Caenorhabditis elegans: one gene and its partner. The protein of the gene in region 1 interacts with the protein of each later gene in a pairwise test. Each region holds a gene or a part of one and is shown in the gene's direction. Other genes may lie near its edges. The genes, in order: pgph-3 and ldp-1.

What was found.
Region 2: the proteins of pgph-3 (region 1) and ldp-1 interact in a two-hybrid assay, tested with the Caenorhabditis elegans proteins (one large-scale study listed by BioGRID).

Annotation. Positions count from the first base shown.
Region 1 is NC_003283.11:5,761,956-5,765,798, reverse strand, and holds pgph-3 (Phosphoglycolate phosphatase), read left to right. Parts: upstream 1-1,952; 5' UTR 1,953-2,005; coding exon 2,006-2,198; intron 2,199-2,248; coding exon 2,249-2,921; intron 2,922-2,972; coding exon 2,973-3,156; 3' UTR 3,157-3,305; downstream 3,306-3,843.
Region 2 is NC_003283.11:2,125,780-2,130,719, forward strand, and holds ldp-1 (Lipid droplet localized protein), read left to right. Parts: upstream 1-1,755; 5' UTR 1,756-1,756; coding exon 1,757-1,922; intron 1,923-1,966; coding exon 1,967-2,073; intron 2,074-2,119; coding exon 2,120-2,540; intron 2,541-3,423; coding exon 3,424-3,904; intron 3,905-3,981; coding exon 3,982-4,087; 3' UTR 4,088-4,321; downstream 4,322-4,940. Other genes in the region: F22F7.2 (Saccharopine dehydrogenase NADP binding domain-containing protein), read left to right, coding at 607-821, 1,140-1,245.

The DNA of each region.
Region 1 (3,843 bases):
TTGATTTCAGCCAAATTTAGGCTGAAATTGGGCCCAATACCAAGTCTAGCCCAACTATTGCCCAAGTTTTGCCAACGTTTGGTCCAACTGAACAGTTTTTGGGCCACAAATTAGACAAAAATGTGGAGCGAAATGCCGAGGCTCTAAGATAACAAATAAGCATAGAGAATTTTTATTTTGAAATTATCTGAAAAAAATCCTCGAAAAATTGGCATGTTTTAAGAAATTTCTTTTTGAAAACTCAATTCAAAGTTCCGTATTAATCTTGTCATCTACCCATAACTTTTTCAGGAAAATAAAAGTTTAATGAAAAATGCATTCAACAATAGACTACTAAATCTCTAAAACGTTTCAGAACTTTCATTCCAAAAATCACTGCGACCACTCCTAAGCGGTTCACTTTCAAACATGTTTTCAGTTTCCTCCTATTACAAATTATATTAATAGTGATAAGAAGTACTACAAATGTATTTTACAGACTGTACTATCACGGGAATACTTTGCCCACTCGTCACTGTTCGATTTTCAAAAGTTGTTTTGTTTGTGTGGAAAAGTAGTACGAATTGATTACACTGATAACACAAAAGAGCCCACCTGCAAGAGATCTTTGAACAAAAACGTAAAGCTGCGAGGTGTCGATGAACGCATTGAATGCAATGATTGGAATGATCTGAAGATTGTTGATTTTATTATTAAAGCAAGAAAACAAATTGATCTACTTAATATTTATTACAATAAGAAAACAAAGTTACAAGGAAAAAAATCATGAAAGGAAGTAGAACAATGAGAATGCATGAGAAAAAGATCGATTAAAATTGCATGTTTTGAAAACAAGAACTTTGTACCGCATTACACTTTCCGTACTAATTGCACTTAACATATTCTATAACCAATTTAATTTTTCGCAGTTATGTGGATCAATAATTTTAGATATTCAACTTTTCCAAATTTTGTACATATTGTGCATTTGTTCATTTATCCACAAAAATAGCAATAAAAATCAATAAGCTTTTGCGATTCCCATTACACACAAATATGTGACGCAGAGATCAGACGAACATTGAGCAACTGTTCATCCAAAAGAGCACAACTCACATGATAGGCTTAAAAAGATTGAGTACATTTAACATTGTATAAAAAGATGGAAAAGTTGGGTACAAAGTTCTGCAAATGAATTCAAAAATGGAATAGAAAAACAATTGAAAAAGTACACGATAATATTTATTTAATTCTATTAATTTTGAGTGTCTCGAACTCAAATTGGGAATATTATAAATTTTATGAAATGAGAAGCTCAGAGTTGACACAAGCTGTTGACAGTTCGTTTCTAGGTTTAATGAGATCATGTGCTAAAAATTGTCTGAAAAATAGTTTGCTTAAAATAGATTGCTCTGAAAATATACATTTAGATTCCAGGAACAATTTCCTCTCAATGCCATCAAACCACCAAAACTGCAAAGTGTTCCACGTGTACTCTGCATAATTGAAAAGCCTTTATTGAACTTTCCTAGTTGAAATTTGACCCCATTCATTCAGTGAACTTTGATGTTCTTATCCAATTTCCTTGCTCAACTATAAACGTTTTATTTAATTTATAGTTAGTTTGTATTTTGCTTTCACGATCTTCCAATCTTGTTTCAAAAAACCACAAACAAGTATTACACTTAATTCACAACGAACACTTGGGGGACACCCTCTTTTTTGTTCAATGTTCACGTGAACATCTTTAAAGTGTTCTTCACTATCTATTTTTAGTGTTTTCACACGAAGAGACCCAGAGAAAATCTGTTCCTCTAATTTCTCTGCACTCTCTCGCTATCAGAAACTTTATTGGTGAATGACGTCTCAATGTCCTTTCGGTTTCGTTTTCTGCTCTGATCGCCAGACTCCGCCCACCAGATGCTATCACAACAGATTCACGGGTATAAAAGGTATCGAGAGTGGATCGAAAAGTATCACTTGCTGGTTTATATTTGCAAACTGAAATTACATTTGAAAACTCAAAATGAAGCTGAAGATCAGTTCCCCACTTCCAACCCCAGTCGAATCTGATTCTGAAAATGAAAATCCAAAAATGTTCCTAGAATCTCGTATTCATTCTGGACTTGATCCAAACTGCAGATCTACTCTTCCACTTGACCCGAAATCGTTTTCCAAGGTCATGAAGACAATTGACACATTCATCTTCGACGCTGATGGTTAGTTTTCTAGAATATCTAGAACAAATCTTAATTACAAATTCTTTCAGGTGTACTTTGGCTCGGTGAATCAGTGATGCCAGGATCTCCTCGTCTGATCGATTATCTTGTGAAACACAACAAACAAATCATTGTGCTCACCAATAATGCCACCAAATCTCGTGCAGTTTATGCAAAGAAGCTTGCAAAACTGGGATACAACTCTTCAAAAATGAACAAGAACAATTTGGTGAATCCAGCTGCAGTTGTTGCTGATACTTTGCACAGAGCTGGATTAGATGGAAAACGAGTTTATTTGATAGGAGAACAAGGACTTCGTGATGAAATGGATGAATTAGGCATTGAATATTTTGGACATGGACCAGAAAAGAAACAAGATGAAGCCGACGGATCTGGTGCATTCATGTATGATATTAAATTGGAAGAAAATGTTGGAGCAGTCGTTGTTGGATACGAAAAACATTTCGATTATGTCAAAATGATGAAGGCTTCAAATTATTTAAGAGAAGAAGGTGTTCTGTTTGTTGCAACAAATGAAGATGAAACATGTCCAGGACCAAATCCAGAAGTTGTTATTCCTGATGCTGGACCAATTGTTGCAGCAATCAAATGTGCATCTGGAAGAGATCCATTGACTGTTGGAAAACCATGTACTCCAGCATTTAATTATATTAAAAGAAAATGGAATATCAATCCATCAAGAACAATGATGATTGGAGACAGGTAAATCTAATTTCTATTCAACTTTTAAATTTAATTTTTGAATTATTTCAGAACCAACACAGATGTCAAATTCGGAAGAGATCACGGAATGAAGACTTTGTTAGTTTTATCTGGATGTCATCAAATTGAAGATATCATTGAAAATCAAATGAACGAAAGAGATGATATGGTTCCTGATTATGTTGCACCTTACCTTGGAGCTCTTGTTCCGGAGTCGAATCAAATTTATTATTAGTTACATTCATTCATGATAACTATTACGAGTATTTGTATTTTCGACATGACATTTTCAATTTTTATTTGTATTGAATTGTAAACATGAATAAAATTAAAAATAAGTATTGAGATTGATAGGTTAGGCTAAAACCGACTACCGTATATTCTCTATTAGTGCGGCATCTCTAATAGTGCGGCATCTCTATTAGTGCGGCACCCCTACTGCCCTTTCGAAAACCCCTTCTTTTTGGTTGCAAAAGCCACCTCAAATATTCGATTACTCCAATGGTATCCTTGTTCATTCTTCAATAATTTCTCATAAACTTTCACTTAAACATTGCATTTCAGTGTCTTTGGGGGCAAAGTGCACAATTTTCATTAATTTTCACATAAAATATGAGGTTTTATGAGGGAATTTTTAGTTTACTACTCTCGAAAGTAGTAACCTCAAAATGAAAATTAGTTATCGAAAATTAGTACGGCAGTCTCCAGTAGTCCGGCAGTCTCTAATAGTGCGCAAGTTACAATGGGCCCGGAAATTAGTGCGGCATGCCGCACTAATAGAGAATTTGAATGCAGAATCAGTATCGACTTTTTCTGCTTGAACTCAGCGGATATGAAACTTTTTTGAATTTTGTTTTCAAATTCTGAAAGAACATGAAATTGACAACATAATGGCTGCAGGGATTTTTGTAATAGTTAGTTT
Region 2 (4,940 bases), 3.6 Mb from region 1:
AAAACTAGGCTATGAATTTGAAATAAATTAGGTCAGGAATTCAAGAAAAAAGCTAGGCCATGAATTAAAAAATAAACTAGGCTATACATTAGAAATAAGTAGGTCGTGTATTTCAGTAAAACTAGCCATGAACTTGTATTAAAACTAGGCCATGCATGAAAAAAAACTAGACCATGAGTTTATAAAAACTAGGCCGTGAATTTCAGAAAAAAATAGGCCATGAAGTTGGAAAAACTAGGTGATGCATTTGAAAAAATTAGGCCATGAGTTTTAGAAAGACTAGGCCGTGAATTTTATTAAAAAAATGGGTCATGAATTTCAAAAACCTGGCCACTAATTAGAAAACTAAGCCATAAATTTAGAACAAAGTAGGCCATGAATTCAAAAAAATCTAGGTCATGAATTAAAAAAGGCCATGAATTTGTAATAACACTAGGCCATGCATGCGAAACAACTAGACCATGAATTCGAGAACAACTTGGTCAGGAATTAAAAAAAAACTAGTGCACGAAAATGAGAAAATAGGCCATCAACTTTACAAAGTAACTAGGCCATGAGTTTTAGAAAAACTAGGCCATTAATTTAAAATGTTGCTTCTTTTTTCAGAAATCAGGGCCCAGTGAAGAGCAGATGAAAGAAGCAACATTCACCTATCAATTCTACGGTTATGGTTACGGTAGAGGAGATCCACGTGACCGGGAACCCAAGAAGAAGCTTCTCGTAACATGCACAGGTCCAGATGTTGGCTATATTGCGACAAGTGGATGTGTTTTGTCCTCGGTATTGGTATTTCTGAAAGAGAAGGAAAAGTTGCCCAAAAGGTAGGTCAAATTTGTTCTCTTCATTTTTTGTTTCAAAAATCACTGTGTTGTTATTACGTAGACGTCAAAAATTGGTCTCGCAGCGGCAGCGAGAGAGCATGCGGCAAAGAGACGCAGAGAGATCTGGGCAATAAAAGGTCGAACAACTGTTTTGATCCATTGTCTCCTGTTTTTGACCTCTGTCTCTCTCTCTCACATTTTCCCATCTTACTTGTTTCTTTTTTTCTAGACCTGCAATACAAAGTGCAACACGCTAGATCGTAGCCAATTTTCGATGGTTTTTGCCGCGAATTTCCCCTTATTTACTCTGCATTTCAGCGGCGGAGTCTACACAACAGCGTATGCATTCGAGAACACTAGACTTATCGATTTTTTGCTTGATTTCGGAATCAAGTTCGACATTGAGATGCCTTCAAAGTTGTAAACACGTTGTTTTGGGCGATTTCAAGGTTATTTCATCGGGTCATTCGGCATTTTCGAATGGTGTTTGTTTCTTCTTTATATTTCATTCGAAATGTGTTTCTATTCTTGTAAAATTGTTCTATAAATCGAGTTTTTATTTGAATTTTAGAGTTTCCCGCTAAAACTCCTGTGAATGGCCTAGAAATTGTGGCTGCAATGCTAGTCCTCCCGGCCGTGTACTTCACGTGAACAAGCGGTTTTCTTCGTAAAATTCACCAATTTTCCTCTAAAAAATCAGTTTTTTGCAGTTTTTTTCATTATTTCTGATCATTGTCCGACCACAGTTCACCCATGAAATTCACATGGAATCGCACCACCACACGAAATGAGGTGTTCAACCTGATAACACATATTTTTACTCGCTGAAACTCGATAAAAACGCCCTGCAACATCGTTTTACTCCATTTCGCCGCTTTTTCTCTTCAATTTTCTTGTAAAGTTCTCTAAAACTTAAAAAAAATCCAAATTCCAGTATGAGCCGCTACGACGTTGTTGTCTACGGAGCGTCTGGCTTCACTGGAGCCTATGTTGTCGAATATTTGGTAAATTCTGAACAATTCGAGGGGCTTTCGTTTGCTGTCGCCGGAAGAAGCGAGAAGAAGCTCAGAGAGGTTCTCAGAAATATCAGCCAAAAAACTGGTAGGAATTTTAACCGTAAAATAACATTTCGAGCTTTTTTCCAGGAAAAGATGTGAGCAACGCCGCCGTTATCGTCGCCGATTCTGCAGATGAGCGTTCTTTGAACGAGATGGCGAGGCAGGCAAATGTCGTTATCAATGCAGTTGGACCTGTAAGAAATTAAAGATTTAAATTCCCTGAAACCTTCAAATTTTCAGTACCGCCTGTACGGAGAAGCCGTCGTGAAAGCGGCCGTCGAAAACGGAGCAAGCCACGTGGATATCTCTGGAGAGCCAGCGTGGATTGAGAAGATGCAACAGAAATATTCGAAACAAGCCAAAGAGCAAGGAGTCTACGTGGTGTCCGCGTGTGGATGGGACTCGATTCCAGCTGATTTGGGAGTCAATTTCTTGAAGAAAAACTTCCATGGAGACCTGAACCACGTGGAATCATTCGTTCAACTGCTCACTGGACCATCCGGATACTCGTTCAATGCTGGAACCTATCAAACTTTGATTCTTGGACTGTCTGGAGCAGCCACTGATAAGCTTGGAGCTGTCAGAAAAGAGATTATGCCGGAAAAGATTGTCAGAGGAGCTGTGAAGCTTCCGAAGAGACCGACTCTCTGGGAGATTAAGGGTTCGTGGAGGAAAGGAGCAATGGAACTGAAAAATTCGAGAAAATGCCCGAAAATGACCTGAAATTTGCTAAAAACAATATTTCAGATCATTTTTGCGCCCGTTCCCAAGTGTTTCAGCTGGAATAAATGCTATTTTCAGACAAATCGAGCGATTTCCTATACTTTGACATTAATTTTTAATGACATTTAATGAAAATTAGTGTCAAAGTATAAAAAATGGCTCGATTTGTCTGAAAATAAAATTTTTTCGAGCTGAAACAATTGGGAAAGTGCACAAAATAGTCGAAAAAGCCATTTTTGAGCATTTTCTCAATTTTTCAGCTAAAATGAATGTTTTTTTTTTCATTTTCTGAAATTGAAATTTCTGGCAAATCTGCAAATCGCCGGAATTTAAAATTTCCAGCAAATCGGCAAATTGCCGGAATTAAAGCTTCCAGCGAATTGCCGCAGTTGAAAATTTCCGATAAATAGGCAAATTGCCGGAATTGAAAATTTCCGGCAAATCGGGAAACCGGCAAATTGCTGGAATTGAAAATTTCCGGCAAACCTTCAAATTGCCGGAATTGAAAATTTCCGGAAAATCGGCAATAATTTCCGGAATTGAAAATTTCCGATAAATAGGCATATTGCCGGAATTGAAAATTTGCGGCAAATTGGGAAACCGGCAAATTGCCGGAATTGAAAATTTCTGATAAATAGGCAAATTGCCGGAATAAAAAATTTCCAGCAAATCGGCAAATCACCGGAATTGAAAACTTCCGGCAAATTGGCGAAAATTAAAATTTCCGGCAAATCGGCAAACCGGCAAATTGCCGAATTTTGCCGCCCTCCCCTGATCCAAATCTACTTTTTATTGTTCCTGATTAAATTTTTTTTTTTCAGAAAAGGAGCTCAACGGTGTCGCTGTTCCATTCCCAGGAGCCGACAAATCCATCATCAACCGCTCACAATACTACGACGCAACATCCCGCCAAGTCCGTCCAATCCACATGGAAACCTACATCCGCCTCTCATCCCAATTCTACGGATATCTCATCGGACTCTGGATCATGTTCCTCTCGATCTTCGTCAAATACCCGTTCACCCGCCGAATCCTCCAACAATACCCTGATCAATGCAGTTTCTACATGTTCAAGAATTCGGGACCAAGTGCCCGGCAAATGGCCGAAGCTTCGTTCGTCTACTGGTTCTTCGGATATGGATACAAGGAAACACTTCCACTGGATCAGCAACACGAGGGAAAAATCAATAGAAAAGTGTTGGCTACTTGCAAGGGACCAGATGCTGGATATATTGCCACTAGTGGTTGTGTTCTTTCCGCCGCATTAACCCTGATCAGAGATAAGGACAACTTGCCAAAGGAGTGAGTTTGGCGGGAAATTTAAAATATTATTTTTTTGAAAATTGTTTTTTCAAAAATAATTTCCTTAATTTTTCCAGTGGAGGCGTCTACACCACAGCTGCTGCTTTCGGAAACTCCAAGATCTACGATTATTTGGCATCATTCGGAATCACTTATCAATTGGAATCTGAATATGATCTTTAATTTAATGCTTGTCTTGTTTATATTCTGTTTTAGGGTTGTTTTAGAAATTCCAGGTGTCAAATCGAAAATTGCTGGTTTTACATTATTATTATTATTATAAACGCATGCTGTTTAATCCACGTCACTTTGAACTTTTGAATCGAAAAACACTTATTATTTGTGGAATCAAAATGTTAACATGTGAAGTTTTTTATTTATTCTTCATGTAGTAAATGTTTTGTCCCCCCGCGCGAACAAGTGTTAACAAACAACACACGTCATTTAGAGCTCAAAAATCGGTGTTTGACTAATTTTAAGGATTTTTTGCGAACGTATAATACGCTCAGAACATTTAAAAATAGGTATGCACCTTTAAAGGATATGGTAGATTTCATGGAGTTACGATATTATATTATTTAGGCGCGAAATATTGTGATTTTTGGGTCGTAAATACGGTACCCGGTCTCGACACGACAAATTTTTGAAAAATAAAAAAGGTTTGCGCCTTTAAGAGTAGTGTAGGTTCAAATTTAGGTTTGCCGATTTGCAGGAAATTTTCAATTCCGGCAATTTGAAGGCTTTCCGCAAATGTTCAATTCCTTCAGTTTGCCGGTTTGCCGGAATTTTTCAATTCCGGCAATTTGAAGGTTTGCCGGAAATTTTTAATTCCGGCAATTCTGCCAATTTCTCGATTTGCCGCAAATGTTCAATTCCGTCAGTTTGCCGGTTTGCCGGAATTTTTCAATTCCGGCAATTTGAAGGTTTGCCGAAAATTTTCAATTCCGGCAATTTGACGACTTTGCCGGAAATTTTCAATTCCGTCAGTTTGCCGGAAAATTTCAATTCCGGCAATTTGCCGGTCTCCCGAATTGCC